4 linked regions of the Arabidopsis thaliana genome follow. The protein of the gene in region 2 interacts with the protein of the main gene of each other region in a pairwise test. Each region holds a gene or a part of one and is shown on either strand. Other genes may lie near its edges. The genes, in order: AT4G22360, SPL13B, ALC and GNC.

The links.
Region 1: the proteins of SPL13B (region 2) and AT4G22360 interact in a two-hybrid assay, tested with the Arabidopsis thaliana proteins (one large-scale study listed by BioGRID).
Region 3: the proteins of SPL13B (region 2) and ALC interact in a two-hybrid assay, tested with the Arabidopsis thaliana proteins (one large-scale study listed by BioGRID).
Region 4: the proteins of SPL13B (region 2) and GNC interact in a two-hybrid assay, tested with the Arabidopsis thaliana proteins (one large-scale study listed by BioGRID).

Annotation. Positions count from the first base shown.
Region 1 is NC_003075.7:11,805,267-11,810,649, reverse strand, and holds AT4G22360 (SWIB complex BAF60b domain-containing protein), read right to left. Parts: upstream 3,394-5,383; 5' UTR 2,840-3,393; coding exon 2,292-2,839; intron 1,987-2,291; coding exon 1,875-1,986; intron 1,786-1,874; coding exon 1,614-1,785; intron 1,526-1,613; coding exon 1,323-1,525; intron 1,113-1,322; coding exon 990-1,112; 3' UTR 951-989; intron 859-950; 3' UTR 533-858; downstream 1-532. Other genes in the region: AT4G22370 (uncharacterized protein), read left to right, coding at 25-106, 191-242, 329-481; AT4G22350 (Ubiquitin C-terminal hydrolases superfamily protein), read left to right, coding at 3,711-4,064, 4,202-4,446, 4,724-4,808, 4,882-5,067, 5,161-5,328.
Region 2 is NC_003076.8:20,615,165-20,619,632, forward strand, and holds SPL13B (Squamosa promoter-binding protein-like (SBP domain) transcription factor family protein), read right to left. Parts: upstream 2,900-4,468; 5' UTR 2,544-2,899; intron 2,375-2,543; exon of another isoform or gene 2,000-2,374; 5' UTR 1,970-1,999; coding exon 1,530-1,969; intron 1,459-1,529; coding exon 1,325-1,458; intron 1,239-1,324; coding exon 733-1,238; 3' UTR 540-732; downstream 1-539. Other genes in the region: AT5G50665 (uncharacterized protein), read left to right, coding at 1-4; SAE1B (SUMO activating enzyme 1B), read left to right, coding at 3,678-3,760, 3,955-4,006, 4,101-4,296, 4,381-4,460. UniProt on the Arabidopsis thaliana protein: Trans-acting factor that binds specifically to the consensus nucleotide sequence 5'-TNCGTACAA-3'.
Region 3 is NC_003076.8:26,784,588-26,788,296, forward strand, and holds ALC (basic helix-loop-helix (bHLH) DNA-binding superfamily protein), read right to left. Parts: upstream 1,845-3,709; 5' UTR 1,752-1,844; coding exon 1,515-1,751; exon of another isoform or gene 1,403-1,514; coding exon 1,331-1,402; exon of another isoform or gene 1,241-1,330; coding exon 1,175-1,240; coding exon of another isoform or gene 1,097-1,174; coding exon 1,031-1,096; exon of another isoform or gene 937-1,030; coding exon 745-936; 3' UTR 519-744; downstream 1-518. Other genes in the region: ICU2 (DNA-directed DNA polymerase), read left to right, coding at 25-144, 215-289, 377-517; AT5G67120 (RING/U-box superfamily protein), read right to left, coding at 3,243-3,503. UniProt on the Arabidopsis thaliana protein: Required for the dehiscence of fruit, especially for the separation of the valve cells from the replum. Promotes the differentiation of a strip of labile nonlignified cells sandwiched between layers of lignified cells.
Region 4 is NC_003076.8:22,988,691-22,993,358, forward strand, and holds GNC (GATA type zinc finger transcription factor family protein), read right to left. Parts: upstream 2,841-4,668; 5' UTR 2,662-2,840; coding exon 2,389-2,661; intron 2,112-2,388; coding exon 1,632-2,111; intron 1,384-1,631; coding exon 940-1,383; 3' UTR 526-939; downstream 1-525. UniProt on the Arabidopsis thaliana protein: Transcriptional regulator that specifically binds 5'-GATA-3' or 5'-GAT-3' motifs within gene promoters. Involved in the modulation of chloroplast development, growth and division in a cytokinin-dependent manner.

The sequences.
Region 1 (5,383 bases), on a different chromosome or scaffold from region 2:
TGACGGTTTACCTGTAATGTGCAGAATGTGACAAGTCACACATCCAATTGGGGAAGGGATTCAGTTTCCACATTTGCCATATGTACCAGGGAAAGCTATTGATAAAGTCAGTATTCGTTCCACTCTAAATTCAGTTATCATAACAATTATAACCCGTGAATCATGACCATATTTAAACCAAACAATGCAGGAATGTGGAGATGTTCATGGAACCAATTTTCCACATAGAGCACCTAAGACTAGTGAGTCTGTCATGTTCATAAGATTTATGTCATCATGTGATTCACTTACTTACCTATTGTGGTTTCTCATTTGTCTTCTGATGCAGAGAACTATGGCGTTTGCAGTGAGTATTGCTGAGAAGATAGTCACTTTCTTGAGACAAGCAGAAAACACAAGGAGACAAGCAATGGCACTCCTGCTACTTGTTCTTCTGCTGCTTGCTGCAGCCGCTTTCTACGTCACACGTCTGAGATTCTGATAAAAACACAGCAAATAACATGGAAGATAGCAGGAAAAAAAACCATAGCATAGGGAATAAGATTTTTCTATCAGTAGGATGCAAATATTTCCAACAGGGAAAACATAGTTAAACACATGAGTTTTTTTTTCCTAAGACATTCATGGGTGAATGGCGTTTAATACAAAACATCTGCGCCGTTTCACCCTTAACACTAGAGTTTCGGTACAATACTAAATACAACATCAACCTAAGCATGTCGATACACAACCAACTAAAACAAAGAACCCAACGGAAGATTAAAATAGCATTAAAGGAAGTTAAAAGTGAAAAGGATCTTTTCTTCCCTATCAGAGTTCTACAGCAAGGAGTCATAAGTAGGTTCCCTAGATACACACCTGCAAGAGAGTTGTGATACAGAAGTCAATTACCATATTTGGACAATGCTGATATATAAGTATCATAATCTGTTAAATCAAACTTCACTTACACTAGTAGTTCCTAGTTAATTAAGTCAGACCAGAAGATATCACGACTGCTTGTACATATGGCGCCTCAGCATCTCATTTATCCCCACAGCTGAAATGCTTTCACATCCAAGAAGATCTCGGAGCTTTTCATCACACTGAATAGCCATTGGATTTACTGGGTCCTGAAAGAAAATTGAAAAGCAGAATAAACAAATCTTAATTTTCTTGTTTATGGCCATTCACTATGCTCTATAACATAAAGTTATGTGAAATCCTATACTGTAAATTATCTTATAGAGTAAACCACAATACCAGCTTTAGTTAGCAGCAAACAGGAAAAAAATTCGAAGCAATAAGGAGAAACCAGAGGATTTCAAGATTAAAATCATTACCTCTAAATTGTTGAGTTTTATGTATTCCCAAACACGGCGAATAATCTCTTCGTCTGCCATCTCCGTCTCACCAGTGCCAAAGAACTTACCAAGTGGCTCAGATAATGTAACAGTTGAACTAATAGCAGTTGAACTAATAGGCTCGGTGGTCTCAGTCTTAGTCTCCACCTCAGTTTTTGCCTTTTTTGCTTGACCAGAGTCCTCTGCCAAAAGTGACTCAAACAGTCAGTAACCTTGAACAAACCAAGCACAGTTGGAACTCAGCAAAAAACGCTTGTGTTTAACCATTACTTGATGGATCAAGCGGGAGAATATGCTTAGCAAGCAACTTATTCATCTTGAACATGTCAGTGCAATCAGTCTCAAAAACCACACGCAACGCATCATCACAGATGATCTTCCGCTTGTTACTCGGGTCTTGAAGGTTATTCTTCCTTATATAAGCCCACAATTGCCTCACAATCTAAAACCAAAAGCCAAACACAGCAACACATAAATAACAACCACAATTGCTTATACACATTATAATCATAAATGAAAGACAATGATAACCTCAGTTCTAGGAAGAGCAGGTTCACCAACAACTACTTCAAGTTCTGGAGAAACCCTACAGACTTTGTTTAGTCCTCCAGGACCACCCTTTCTTTTAGTTCCAGCCGGAGCACTGCAAAGGAAAAGTTGACAAATTTCGTTGATGTGCCAAATTTAGGTAGATCAGAAAGAAATAATCACACTATAATAGAACGTTGTATGAATCAATGTGCTAAAAATATCACAGGATGATAATTCTAAACATGAGCATGTAAAACCTAAAAACCCGTAAATGAACAAAATTGACAAAAGATTTAGACATTCCTAAAATGGAAAATCATGTTTTCCATGAAAGTAGCAAAAGCCCTAAATTACTGAAATTGGAACAACCTTGAGCAAAATTACGTACCAACATTTGAAATATGTTGCAAACCCTACCTTTCTTTTGGGGCTTGATTAACAGATAGAGAAGCATTCCCGCCATGTGAGAGCATCACAGAGGATTGTTGTTGTCGCGGAGACTGCTGCTGATGCTGGTGCTGTTGCGGCGGCATGTAAACCGGATAAGGCTGCCGGAAATTTAGGTCATAAGAGTGATAAGGAGGCTGAAGAGCGAAATGTGAAGGATATTGTTGTGATTGAGAAGAAACAGAGAATTGCGAAGGATGGCTAAGTGTGAAATGCCCTTTCGCCATCGGAGGAACATTGACGCCGGAATGCAAATTCTGCTGCTGGTGAGAAGACGGCGGAGGAGGAGGGTGAGATTGTTGTACGGATGAAGCGGAGGCGACGGAGGCAGAAGGGTTTTGGTGAGCACGGAGGAGGATATTGATCTGATCTCTGATGAAAGTCGTCTTCTCCGTGAGGTCTAACCCTAACTTAGCTTCAAGCTGCTGAACAATACTGCTTAACGATGTGAGAGAGCTAGGGTCGGATTGTCGAAGCAAAGTCTCGACTCCTTTCGCTAGATCCTGGTCCGACACCATTGTCGAGAGAGAATTTCAAAGCTTTTTTTTTCATACACACAAAAAAAAAAACTTTTTAAGGAGAAAAAAAAAAACAAATACCCCACAAAAGAAAAAGAAAAAAAGACAACAAATTCTCTATATCTTTCTCTCTCTTATCCTCTTCTCTAATCTTGTCTCTTTCTCTCTCTCCTTCTTCGTCTCTGTCTCTTTATAACTATTTGGAAAGACGAATATGCCCTTCAGGGTTGGTTAGATTTATCAAATGATGACAAATGTCGGTGTTGCCCTTATGAGTCATGGTATCTATGGCTTGTAGGTAGAGGGTGTTGTCGTATTTTGGCTAATCTATTTGCTTTTTTACTTCTTCGCCAGCTGGCTTTAACTTCAGAACTCATCTCTTTACTCGTGGAATGTCGAATACGTCCTTGTAGATTTTCACGCGTTTATAGTTTGCTTCGAGAAGCTTGAGGGTATTAATGGTTATTCGATAAGTATCGGATCGTGAATACAGATCAATTACTGAATACTGCTGACAGAAGTAATATAAATGGAACAGATTGTTATTGGGCTATAACAGTGTGGCCCAATAATAAATATTCGGCCTTTTAACCGAGTTAATCAATCTGGGTGAGACTTGAGTCGGCTCTTGAAGCTTTAATAGGTTGTTTGTTTAACGTCTGCGTTGTGGCGGATTTTGAAGTTTCTCGAGAAAATTGGGAACGAGAGATAAGTTCGAGTAGATTCGCGACTGTCGACGCTTCTGATTTGAAGTATTTGGCGTTTTTTGGAAGAGTTCATTGCTTCTTTGGTTGAGGATTCTTCGTGAATCGCTGGGATTTTGTGTTCTAAGGTTTTTGAAGCAAGCTTTAGCTTAGGGAAAATTTTGAGAATGAAAGGTGAAAGAGAAGTGAAGAATGGTGTTTCTGAGGAAGAGAGAGAGGTGAAGAGGAAGAGAGTGATGGAACGGTCTGATTCGCCACCTCCACCACTAGGTTTCAACAATCCTCTTTTGCCGTTTGCTAATGCTTACGATGATGATAATAACCAGCAGAATAAATCGCAAACTCGTTGTAATGTAGTTGCGAAAGGAGAGGGAAATGGTAACAAAGTGAAAGGAGAAGCTCAAGTAGAGGTCGATGACGACGAAGATGATGATGATGATGCTTCGAAGGGGAGAGGAAAGCATTCACGCCATGTTGAAGTTCGTCGTGATTGTCCTTATCTTGATACTGTTAATCGTCAGGTATATCATTGACCAATTTCTTGTGTTTGGTACTTGTAATGTATCTAATCTATGGTGGATCTTTAAGCTTCTGCTAGGTTCATTATATTGCTGGTTTGAGATTAGCGTTTAAACTCATATCTTATGGTTGATTTCAGGTGTTGGATTTTGATTTCGAGAGGTTTTGCTCTGTCTCATTGTCAAATCTGAATGTGTATGCGTGTCTTGTTTGTGGGAAGTACTTTCAAGGAAGAAGCCAGAAGTCTCATGCTTATACACATAGCTTGGAAGCAGGACACCACGTTTACATCAATCTTCTGACAGAGAAGGTTTATTGTCTTCCTGATAGTTACGAGATCAATGACCCTTCTTTGGATGACATTCGCCATGTTTTAAACCCAAGGTATATTAGATCTTGTGACTAACTACATCATAGTTCTTACTGCATTTTGGGTATTGATTTGTGAACATGTGAGCCTTTGCACGTAGTTAACAACAACAAAATTGCTTTGACTATTATCTCAATCAGTTTCTTCTTACTAGTTCTCTGTATCATCTACCATCTATTTATATTTTTTTGCATGATAGCTTGAACATATTACTCTTCTTTCATGTTTTGTCAATTTTTCTTTGATTTTTCAGTTCCTTTGTATGAAGGCTTCGGTGCTATCCATTTACAGGTTTAGTAGAGCACAAGTAAACGAGCTTGACAAGAATAGGCAGTGGTCTAGGGCTCTTGATGGCTCCGACTATCTTCCAGGAATGGTAATCCTTTCTCTTTGATTACACTTGATCTTGAAATTAATGTCTCCTAAAGGTTAAGCTTGTAAATATGTAGGTGGGGTTGAACAACATACAAAAGACAGAGTTTGTGAATGTTACAATCCAGTCGTTGATGAGAGTTACTCCTCTAAGGAATTTCTTCCTCATTCCTGAAAATTATCAGCACTGCAAGTCTCCTCTTGGTCACCGTTTTGGGGAACTAACTCGCAAGATTTGGCATGCTCGAAACTTTAAAGGACAAGTCTGACTCAATTTATGCCTCTCACTTTTTTAGTTTTTGTTATGCACTCACCTATTGAGGACCTCGCTAATTTAAGTTACCTTGCATCAACAGGTGAGTCCACATGAGTTCTTGCAAGCTGTCATGAAAGCCAGCAAGAAACGCTTTAGGATTGGCCAACAATCAGATCCAGTAGAGTTTATGTCGTGGCTCCTCAACACTTTGCACATGGATCTTAGAACTTCAAAGGACGCTAGCAGTATCATCCACAAGTGCTTCCAGGTATGTGTCCGTCCTTTGAAATGTCAACATAATGCAGTTTGATATAATTTCTTAC
Region 2 (4,468 bases):
TTAAGCTCAGAGAAGAGATAGTGATGTTAATTCTAAGTTTCATGTAAGATCTGCTCAAGTACTCATTTTTACACTATTCGAGTTTGAAGTTTGATTGGAGAGAAGAAGAAGACTGTACAAGATTATGAGAAGAATTGGAGAAGCGAGTCAAGGTTAGAAAGAAGATGTGATATCATTTTACTTGTGGCATTTGTTATTGTAATGTTAGTTAAGACTTGGATTGAGACTTGTATGGAGATTTTATATATATTGAATTTGATCAAAAAGAGGTTTCTTGCAAATGTGTAACAAAATGTCCCAAACTTATAGGCTGTTTATAGATTTATAGCCAAAAAAATAAAGCTACAACATATCAGATCATAGCCTATAAAATATAGCTACAAAATAATAGTTTATAGCCCTTAAAAAGAGTTACAAAAGTATAACATCAAAATTGTGCAATAACAAAGGAAATCAAAGCATTTCTTTTACGCCATAATATGTGAACATTTAATAGCATAGCAAGAAACGCTATTGTATGTGACCACTCTAAGATAGCTCCGGCAAACACAGCGTTTATGAATCCGCTATGTAAACGTTATTATAGCGTTTTCGGTGTGTTAAGAATGTCCATATTTCTTGTAGTGTTAACAAGAACAATGATGATGATAAAGAACATTGAAAAATGAGGGAGAAGAGAAGAGACACAAATAGATCTTTCTGATTCTATCTATCTACCTACTTCTTCTTCTACTACTCCCAATGAAACGGGAATGTCTGCGGAAGACGGACAGCCTCGTTACCGGATATAACCGATCCATCAGAGACTGCACTCGCATTCTCAAACAATCCCGACCCGTAAAAAACTGTCTCAACTGCTTCTTGGGACAAAGAAAGTGGTGGTTGAAGCAAATGAGGGACTGACGACGAGGAGGATGACAGAAGAGAGAGAGCACAATCAGAGTCATGGATGCAACTCGTCATTCTCTCACACAACGATGCGGTTCTCGAGCTTTCTTCTTCTTGCAAGAAAGGGAATTGTTTTGCTATGCTTCTGGTACTGTTTGGAGAAGAAGAGATTGGAAACATTATCCCTGTCTTTGCAGGAGAAGAACCAACAACATAGCTCTGGCTCTGCCCATAACTCGAACCATTGGCGGCTACAGCAACGCTTACAAGACTATTTCCCCAGCTCGGGTTCAACACAGATGTAGTTGGAAACACATGTGAACCACCAGAAAACTCTAGCAATTTGCTACCTGAAAACATAAAACAATGCTTCTTCATCAACAAGGAACGGTCTATTGGATTCAAGAAACTAACTAACTTTTCTTAAAACAGAAACCTTGAAAACCCGTAAAGAAGTTGGCAGGACGACCGATATGTTCAGGCTGCGGCTTCCGTCGTCTTCGATTATGTCCATCAAGACGTTTCCTACAACTTCTCTTCCCTTCATCAAACTCCTCCAAAGCATGAAACCTAATTAGACACAAATGTTAACATCTTCACCAACCCAACAAGAAGCTTAAACCATTAACACACAATCTTACCTGCTGCATTGTTGACAAAACCTCTGTTTATGACCATTAATAGTAACCACAGGAGTTTTTGAATGAACATCACAAACTTTATGTCTCTTATGATACTCTCTACAATTACTAAAATCAGAATCACATCCATCAACAAGACAAATCGGCATCTGGTTGGTTCCAACACCATTCCCTCTTGTTCTCTTTGAACTCGAGCTTCTTGAACCTTCTGGTTTAGCTAAAGCACTATCTTTCCACTTACTAAGACTAATCACTTGCTCTGTATCACCAAAAACAGAGGAAGAGTTTCCAATGTTTCTTCCAAGTTTTAGATCAAATGAAAAATCCGCTTTTGACTGTGACGACCCACCAAACGAGATCGAACCATCCATTGGTGATAAATCTGGTTCTTGATCGAATCCAGATAAATAACCAGAGCTAAGTTTGAAATTCCAGTCCATTCAAAGATTGTGCTTTTTTTTCTTCTCTCACTATAAAAACACATACATACACAACAGCAATCAAAGCAATATCAAGATTTGTCCTTTTTGATATTGGTACTCTAAATTTAAGAACAAACAGCAAAAACAACTAGTAAACATAAAACCCATGAATCTTTAACTCAATTAAACTTCAACTTCAATACATATGAAGGAAAATAAAAAAGCATAAGCAAAAAGCAAAAACACAATTATAAAGAGTACTCTGAAATTGTAGTTGAAGCTCTAACAAAATGATCTATTTTGATATTGAAAAAAAAACAAAAAAAAAATCCCAAAAAAGGCAAACTAATTGTACTGAAAAAACGAAATGAGAAGTGCAGAAACATAGAAACTAGAACAGATCCCACAAAATGGGAAGAAAGGAAAACAAAAAAAAAAACAAAAAACTTTTTTTCTGTCTACTCAATTCCAAGCAAGAATTAAAAAAATGCAATAAAAATGAAAGATTAAAGTAAGATTATAAACATGTTATTACATTAAAAAAAACTATAGAATAAGAAAAGTTTGTTGTTTGAAGGTTGAGAAATCTTACCAAATCCATACACCTACCAGTAGAGTCAGTAGAAGAAGAAACTCCAAAAGAGAAAGATGAAAATATAAAAAAATGGGACAAGTGAAAAAAAAGAAAGAGAAGATGATGGAGTTTAGCAAGAGAAAGTGGAGACAACAAGTGTGGCTGCTACTTCAATAATGCAAATAAGAGAAAGAGGAAAGAGAGAGAGAAATTGATGATAATAGCTATTACTAAGTTAAGAAATGATTTACTTACTTTAATTGTAACTTTACTTTCCTGATTTAGGGTTTTATTGATATCATTTTTTAAAAACTTTGAGTAAGAAAAAGTGAAGAAAAGAATGGAGGAAAGTGACAGCTGTTGTTGATTGTTCTTTTGCTTACTTTTTCAACTTTTCTTTGTTTATATTTTTCTCTGCCATTCATCAATTCTGAACTCTGAGCATCCGATTTTTATGAATGAACAGAGTATACTTTTGAAAATTTCAAATTACTCATAAATCTTGTATCTTTTTACTGACCCTTATCCAAAATATATTAGTTTTCAAATTGTGATATAAAATAGATGTGGTTTTTTCTTTTTTATAACTATGATGATGATGAAAATGAAACAATAAATTGGAAAGTGATACTAAAGAAAGAGGTATAGGATGCTTAGTTGTTTACGGCAAAAAACATAGCATGTGAATGTTGTGCTTCGCATTACACAACATCTTCTTCTGTTTTTTTTCTTCTCTCTTTCCACCGATACGCGTTATTTTCTTTGACTTTCATAGTTACGGGTCACACAAGTTGTCAATTATCAGGGAGAATCGTATAAAAGTCTTCCATGTCTTTAAAAGTTTTGCAGATGGATTTAAAAGATTTGGGGTCCAAAGCCCATGTTTCATTTGTTTCGGCCCATAAATTGTCCTAAAAAATAACAAATTGGTTATTTATTGAATGCACAGTTGTTTTGAATTTAAAAATTTGTAGTTGACGAACCGGACCAAACCAAAACAAACCATGTAATTTGAATAAATAAAAAGAAAGCAATTTTCCGGTTAACAAAAAATCTCAAACTCAGTGAGTGAGTCACCGAAAACCTCTTGTAGTAGATTCGTGACGGGTTTGATCATCTCTTCGAGGTCGGTTCTAGGGTTTCACTACGAGAATGGACGGAGATGAGCTCACCGAGCAGGAAACTGCTCTTTATGACCGTCAAATTAGGGTATGGGGAGCTGGTGCTCAAAGAAGGTACTTCACATTGAATCTAACTTCTATGGCTTCAAGCAACAACAAGTTATTGATTTTCCGTTTGAGTACTAATAAACTCTTCTTGTTGGGCTATACTCGGTGAAAGTTTATCTCTTTCTGGGTTTTAAGCTAATTTAGCTGTTGAAATTTTGATTAGGGCTTCTCTGAATTTTGTTTTGTGTTTTTGCTTGCAGATTGAGTAAATCTCATGTTTTGGTATCTGGAATTAAGGGCACTGTTGCTGAGGTACCTCTTACTTTATTTTGTGACTCTCTATTAGCTATGTTGCAGTAGAGTGAGTGTTGGCATCTTACTTGGTTTCCTCCATTTGGTGTTGCAGTTTTGTAAGAACATTGTGTTGGCAGGAGTAGGTAGTGTGACTCTGTTGGATGATCGATTGGTTACAACGGAAGTCTTCAACGCAAACTTCTTGATTCTTCCTGATGAAAATGCTTATGTAGGCAAAACCGTAGCTGAGATTTGTTGTGATTCACTTAAGGATTTTAACCCTATGGTTCATGTTTCAATAGAGAAAGGTTACTCCTCCTTTCTTCATTTCTCTCTAATTTTAGTAGAAACAAATGATTTTAGTAACATCGAGTCTATGTCTTCAATTTCAGGTGATTTGTCAACACTTGGTGTTGATTTTTTCGAGAAGTTTGATGTTGTGGTTATCGGCTACAGTTCTCGTGCTACTAAGGTACTGTT
Region 3 (3,709 bases), 6.2 Mb from region 2:
TCTTGTACATTTTGCCTTCAACAGTGTGAAGACGAGTCATGCAAGCACACAACCCGCTCCCCCAACTTTCGTCTACTCGGTGAACGTGAACGGGGGACAGTTTGCCCAAACTATCCTAACTGTAACGGAACCCTCTTACGAAAGGTATATACCATCATCAACCTTATAACTCCTATCTCTCTATTGCTTCACAGACTAACTCTTGACTTTACAGTACACTGAAGCAGACTTGTACAAGCAACTGTCATACTTCTGCCACATCTTAGACACACAATGCTCTTTAGAAAAGGTTTCTACTTTACAACCTTGTTATATTATTAATATCAATTTGTCTTGTCTATATCCCTAAAGTTATCGGTACCATTTGAAATAACAGATGGATGTTGGCGTGAGAATTCAAGTAGAGAAAGCAATGACGAAGATAAGACCTGCGGTTAAGTCAGCAGCAGCAATCACTCGAAGTAGTAGAGACCGGTGTGCTTATGGATGGATGCAACTCACAGACATAGTCATTTGATAGTTGTAATAATCATCTCATATGTAAGTAAATTAGTCTTTTATATATAATCTGCTTCAGACATCATTATAATCAAACTACTCAGATTTTGTTCACTCCTAAAGCTTATTAGCATAACTATAACTGAACATAGAAATCTGGCCAATGCTAAAACTCAAAACATTGTTCACTCCTGTCTGGCAGGTACTAGAGGAATTCCGATCATCATCATTGTCTGAATGTTATCTTCAAAGCAGAGTGGCTGTGGAAAAGCACATTCCTTGACTTGTTTTAGCTGGTTCCAGCGAGTGAGGAGCAGCGAGAAGAGTCTCTAGGTTCAGGTCTTGCTCTAAGGTCTCATTGATCCTTGTATGAGTTGGAGGTGGAACCTGTGGTAATCGCATAGGGTTTAAGCCTAAACCATTCATAACGGCTAAAGTCTGCATCATGCAGTAAATCAAGTTAATGATCTGAGTGATGTAATTTACAAATCAGACTTTGAACGTATATAATCATAGTAAGTAGGAAAAAAACCTGGACTTGAAGTTGAAGCTGCTTCAGATATTCTATAGCTTCATCAAGCATTGAGGCTTTATCAGTCTATAAACAAACAAAAGATAACGGATCAATCAGAACAATGTTTCTCACTATCTCTGATTCGAACAAAGATTGATTAACCTTGTTGGAATTGGGAATGAGTTTCTGCAAAGCTTTCATTTTCTCGTTGATCTTGCTCCTCCTCTTCTGCTAACACTCAGATTCTAATCAACTACAATCTCAAGGTTCTTCTTCTTTCTAAATTAAGAATCTTAAAAGGAAGATAAAAGAGAAAACCTTTTCAGACAAGTTGTGGAATTGAGCATCAATGTTTCTCTTCAACGAATTTCTCTGTTTAGCTCCACTTCTCTTTAGTGTTTAGCCATTCCAAAAAGAAAAGAGACTAATTTTGGTTTTTGTTTTCTTTTACAAGGAAAGCCAAGTGAAGCATCTCTGCAGCTAAGAATAGTTAAGTTTATACCTTGTGTTCGAAAGCATATTTGTCTTGGCCAGTTTCAGAGACTCCATAACCGACGGAAGAAACAGCTCCGCCGGAAACGGAAGGGAAGAAGGTCTCAGCGGAGGAAACATTAGTACTCTTCGGTGGTGAAGAAGGTTGAGCTGTAGGAGTACGGGAAAGAATCTGTCGGAGAAAGCTCGAGAGTTCGTCGGAAGAAGATGGAGGGGGAAGACGATCACCGACGTCAGAATCACCCATCTCTCTCTCTCTCTCTCTCTCTGCTCTACTCTGTGTGTAAAAATTATCACTGTGGCTTTTTCGTAGTAAAGCTTATAGGCGGGGGAGGTAGGACGCGTGAGATCACGTTCTTCAGAGAAGCGCGTGGAGGTTCTAAAAGAGGCGAGTGGCGTGTCGAATCCCTATAGACAGAATCTGGTGTCTCACATCACTCTGTGTGTGAACAGTTTCCTTTTGTAGCAATTTTATTTAATAATATTATATTTTTTACCTAATAAAAAAAAGGAAAAAAGCATTTTTGGACCACCAAGTAAATAAAAAACATACATTTTTATTGTTTTTTTCAATGTGATAAGTTAAATTGAGAGGAGGGGATGAAATTATGAAAATCAGTAAATGAAACGGTTGAAAAAATAAGAGTATTGATAAGATAGAGCATTGATAGACTATTTAATTATTATTATGACTAAACATGAAAATGGACAATTACTTGAAAAGTAAGGTCTCGCAACAGTTTCACCATTTTTGACAAATTACAAAAATCTATTTTTTCCTTCTTTTTTGTTGTTGTTGTTGTCCACAGATAAAGTGTGAATAAAACTGCATGCATTTCGAAAGATTATTTATTCGAGAGATTATTTAACACAAAATAAAATTCAGATATTATAATGGTCAATACAAAGACGATAACATGTCCTTGATCATTAGCCTTTTTTTAATGCATCCAAAGGGAAATATATATAATATAGTAATTAAAATAATTATGGTTCATAGCAAAAATAAGAATAACTAGATTTTAACCCGCGGTATACCGCGAAAACAATTTATTTTTTAAATTAATATATATAAAAGTTTGTAAATTGTATCTATCTATAAAATATTTTTATTGTATAGTTTACAATTGTTATTAAGTAACGTCCTGCCAAACCCGTCCCGCCAACCCGTCCTCTAAAAAAACTCATTTATTTTATGAATGTGATCTTATTTATGATATGTTTATGAATTATTGTCTAAATATTTTGTAATTTTGTAGTAATTAAATGTTATCAAATATCTCTACGGTTTGATGATTATAATCATGCAGAAAAGCAATATCAAAAATGATAATTTTGTAGTAATTAAATGATATTAAATATTTTAGAAGTTTTATTTTAGTAATTAATCGTGTAGTTAAGGTAGAGAGATTTTGGAAAGATTGTTAAATGTCAAATATTTAATTAGAAGATTTTCTTTCTAATTATCAAAAACAATTATTAAATGCCAATGACAGCCGCTGTAAATAAATCCCAACTCCAGAATTTATTTCACAAAGTGGCTGCAAAAATATATATATAGATGATAATAATCAAAATCAGAAATCAAATCAAAATCCAACTTGCCATCTAAATAAATGGAATCTTTCTAACTTGATAAAAAGGGAAATATTGGTAATTATGGTTCATAGCAAAAGAAAGAAACAAAAAAACTGAAATCCAACGAGATAAACGGAATCTTTCAAACTTGATAAAACATTTAAACGACTTCTCGGTTGCAAAGAGGACACTTGTTCGTGACCATTAGCCAATTCTTGATGCATCCGAAGTGAAAGTCATGCCCACATCCCAGTTTCGAAACTTCTTCATTGTCCTTCAATTTCTGCTGACAGATCACACATCTCTTCGTTTCATCGTCGCTACGCTTTTCATATTTCCTTCTTATTAGATTCTCATCAATCACTTCCTCGCTTAAACCAGTGCGTTCATCTCCTGTTTCGTCAGTGATGCTCAATAATTCCTAGAAAAAAAAAGATTCATTCATAAAATTATCGATATCTAAACTCTGCAGCTTATACAACTCTAGAATCAAGAAACCAAAATGGTACATATAATTTTTATTAAAGAGAGTCCTAATCTCTTCTACATCTAGGATTCAAATGCACTTCTTTGAAAACTACACATGCAACCGACTAGTTAACCAATACTGGAAGCATTAAATTTTCA
Region 4 (4,668 bases), 2.4 Mb from region 2:
TTCACATTTTACATTTTTGATATATTTATGATTGGTGTGCTGTACTAGCTACTCATGACCCTAAGTAATAATGTAGCAGCGAAAGAAAAAAGTATTTTTTGATGTGTTGATTCAGACTTAGGTCAACCTATATGTGTTTTTTTTAAGTTTGAAATAAAATTAATTAGATCATTTTTTTTGGATAAAGGGCTTATATTAGTTAGATAATCTAATGAAAAAACTAGAAGAAAATATGTGGGCTTGCAAATATGTCGTCGTCTTAAAATGCAACACAAACGTATTATCTTCTTCACACATGATCTCTTGTCTTATATACGCATTCATATTATCCCATATCAACCATCTTTACCCTCATCTTTATATTTTGTGTTCAGTATATTCTCACAAGCAATTAAATCCAAAATAGTCAATTTAAAGCATTTCTAAGAAAAATTACACTACTATTATGAGCTTCAAAAATATATTTAAATTTTGAATGATACCAAATACTAGACGTACAATTTTAAAGCTGGTAATCCATTTATGATTGAGCTAAATTGTGATGATATGTATATTGTATAAAGATAAACACATAAATAAAAGTACCCTTAATTGATTATATTATTTCTCCAACCTCGTTACACAATACAGTACTATAAAACTTGTAAATGAACAAGAATTACCCACATTATCGGGTGACTAATGTTCGTTCCATCGGAAAACAAAAACACAACAAACTCAAAACCAAAATCTCCATAAACATATATAGAGCTATTAATTATCATATTAAACTCTCACACACTCTTATTATAAAATGTTTTGACTCCTGATATTAGACCAACTGCAAAAACTAAACTAATCACTCCAAGATTTAACAATCAATCATTATTATGATTACTATAATCTATATATTACTATTAAAATAAACCTTTTTGTAATGAGGATATTGTGATGATCTGATCAACCGTGAACCATTCCATACGACAGAGCCATGAGCAAAACAGCAGCCTCCTTCTCATCTTGTGGGAACACTTGTTGATAAGCTGAGCTTTTGCTCAACATTATTGTCAAATCATCGAAGCAAAATTTGTTTGACGAAATCGAAGAATTAGAAGAAGTTGTAGATTTGCTGATCTCTGAATCTCCGGCAACCGTTTCCGCTTCCATTTCCTTCTCCTCTTCCTCTTTGATCTTGCACTTTTTGGCCTTGGCCACCATTGGAGGAGAGTGATTGTATTTTTCCCCTCCGTTTGATCTCTTTTTTTTATTTTGCAACTTCTTTTTCAGCGGTAATTGTTGCACTCGGGGCGCTACCGCCACCTCTTGGTCGCCGGCTGCAGCGGCCGCGGCCATAGCGGCTCGCCTTGCCTTTCTTTGCCGTATACCACATGCGTTACAAAGAGACTGCAATGATAAATGAAAATTAGTATGCGAACTGTAGATGACAAAAAAAAAATCATAGAATGTTGGACTTATGAGTATCATTGATTAAAGTATTAATGTTTAAAGGATGTATCAGGTTTAAATAAATTAAATATCTACATTCTTGAAATATAACTATTAATTTTAAAAATGTGAACTAAACTAGGTAGATATAGATAGTATGACATATATCAAGACAATTTCGATTGAAGTAAGTGTGATTAATCTACCTTGGGACCTCGAGGTCCACTTCGCCAAAGAGGAGTCTTGGTGGTGTTACAATCCGAACAAACCCTAATCACGCCATTGTTATTACTATAACCGTTCTCGTTGATTGTATTGTAGCGATTCTCGGTGGTCGCGGCCGTGGTCTTCCTGGTCAAGACGTTCTTGAAATTAAGATCTTCATGGTGATCCTCGTCGAAATTAGTCTTATGATTCAAAGGGTAGTGATCACTTTCTTTATGATTATTATTATTAGTCTGATCAATGAGCTGTTTATTGTTGGTGATTGTTTTCTTGATCAACCGCATCTTTGGGGACATCAACCACTTGTCGGAGTCTGAATCGGGTTTTGTCGGGTTTTGATGAAGAGGATGGGGTTGGTCTTCGTGATCTTTTTTCCTTATCGTTAGTTTCAGTCTTGTCTCCTTCTTTGGCACCATGTGATCGCATGCTGATGATCCACCGTTAGCCACAAACATCTTGGCCTGGTATATATATATCACCGATCAAGGTTTATAATCAACAACAGATGGAATTGTACATAATAATATAATGATATGGCTTCTTAAGATCCCTCCTTTTTATTTGATAAATTAAATTTCGTCTATATAGAATTCTCGACATACAAATTCAGAAACTAATATTATTGTATGAATTTTACATGATCAGGCATGATTTTAACTGCTAAACTAAAAAGAACGATCGTACAAGAATAACATTTATACACACACACTTAAGGTTGATATGTAATTGTAAATTTACCTTGAGGGGTTGAGAAAGATGGAGATGATCAGCGTGATAAGTGTTGTTGTAGGCAACATGTTGATCTTCTTGAGAGTTGATCAAGAAAGGGAGGTAAGAGGAGAGCGATGAAATGGACGAAGAAGAAGATGAAGAATTAGAAGGGACTTGATGATGATGATGATGATGATGATGATGAAGCGAGGAAGAGGATCCAAGAGGATAGAAAAAGGGTTGTTCGTGATGGTTTTGATCTTCGTTAAGATCTATCGAGTAATGAAAATTTGAATCCATTGATGAGATAAACAAATGAAGACACAAAGAGAGAGAGAAAGAAAGCTAAGATGAGAGATTGAGAGAGATCATAGACGGCAAAAAGAGTCCAAGCTATACTATGTTTGATCCTTTTTAAAGGCAATGAGATGAGACACGAGCCAAACACACATGGTCTCTATTATATTCATATATAAAATATATCAGTTTAATAAATGGTTTACGTGAGTCTAGAGTTAGGGTACTTATGTCTCTGTATACATCAACTTGTACAGTGAATTTTAGAAGACATGGATAAAATACTGTTTTAAAATCCTACTTTCGGACAAGTCCGGATGTCATACCAATGATTTTAATTTTTTTAATGTCCTTTTTATATGTTTTTTTCTAATTTAGAAAAAAAAGCTCTAAACTTCTAGTTTTCTCAAATGACCATAAAGTATTATGAGATTCGAATCCATAATTTTATTTGCATATGCTATAACGGACATGCGATCCAGTAATCCTTGATGAGCTAGTAAAGAAAGCTTGTTGTTTTTTTCTTGGATTGATTTAAGAAAATGGATACAAATAAATAACTGAAATGATCAGTAATAGTAAATGGTCAATATTTACATTAAGAAAGTTGAAAATATATGTATATGTATATATATAATTAATTAATTTAGAGGTTCACGTGAGTCCATGGCACCCATACAAACCAAACACATGAGACAAACTGTGTGTATGTGGAATGGTACTGGACGGCCCCATTCAAAACAAACCCTATCTGTAATTTCCTTACCCCACTAGAGAGACACAGAAAATTAAAAATAAAACCCTAATTTATATAAATATTGGAGAGTGAGAGCCACACAAATCATGATAATAATTGAAACAAATAAGATCCTTTTACTTGTTGTCTTTTCAAATCTAGGGTTTCCTAGATCTCATCAAGGCTCTATTATAGAAAAAGAAAAAAAAAAAAGTCAAAATTTGGATTTCTCATGTTCTTTTCATATGTATATATACCGTTAAACTAAAAATCTACTGTATTCATGAAGAATCACTAAAAAGGTTAGATTTTCAGCTCTATGAATTTTTACTAGATTTTATTAAATCGTATCAGTCAAAACAAATTTAGAATAAATATTGATTGATAAATTTTAGAAAGTATATTACATTCTCTTATTTTCTCAACCAAAAAAAAACAAACTTCTCTTATTTAAAATGAATATCTAACTAGCGTCTGTAAATATGTCTATTGACAAATAAAAAATTAAAAAAAAAAAATGAGAAACAAAAAAGAGTCAATTAGCATTACGTGAAAAAACGTCAAAAATAAATAAATAAATAGAAATGACAAATAGTTAGTGTTTATCTTTCAGATAAGTCAGTGGATCTTCTTAAAATTCCCCTACGAGTAGTGTTAGTTAGTACCTAAAATTATAGACTTTGTTGTGATAAGCCATCAATCATATAACATGGATTGTTAAAAGTTCAAATAAGTCCAACACTGATTCGTTGGTTTATTTCCTGATAATCAAAGTTTACTCAATTGGCATAACAAATTCAAGATCTCTTGAAAACGTAGTATATATGCTATATGTAACTCGTGATCCTTTCAACTGCATGTGATCCATCAATAATCCTCCCAGAGGATAGAGAACGAAATGATCCATGATTGAGAGATAGGAAGCGAGGCAGAGGGAGAAGAGATCAGAGATCTAGAGAGAGGAGATGAATAGAGAGAAGAGATAGGTTTAGAATGGTAAAGGAAGAAAACATCCCACCTTAGTATTGCCAAACTTATTCAATTCCTTCTCATCAGATTATACAGATCATTGAGGACCCCCACACACAAAGAGACAATCCATCTTTATTTTTCAAAATTTAAAATTGGCCCATCAATTTGTAACAATTCTTAAGCTAACTAAATGATCTAAGGAAAAAATAATAATTGATATTAATTTTCTGCTATATTTAGTAGCTTTTTATATGGGATCAGATTATGATCTATATATAACTCCCAATTTTCTAACACATACT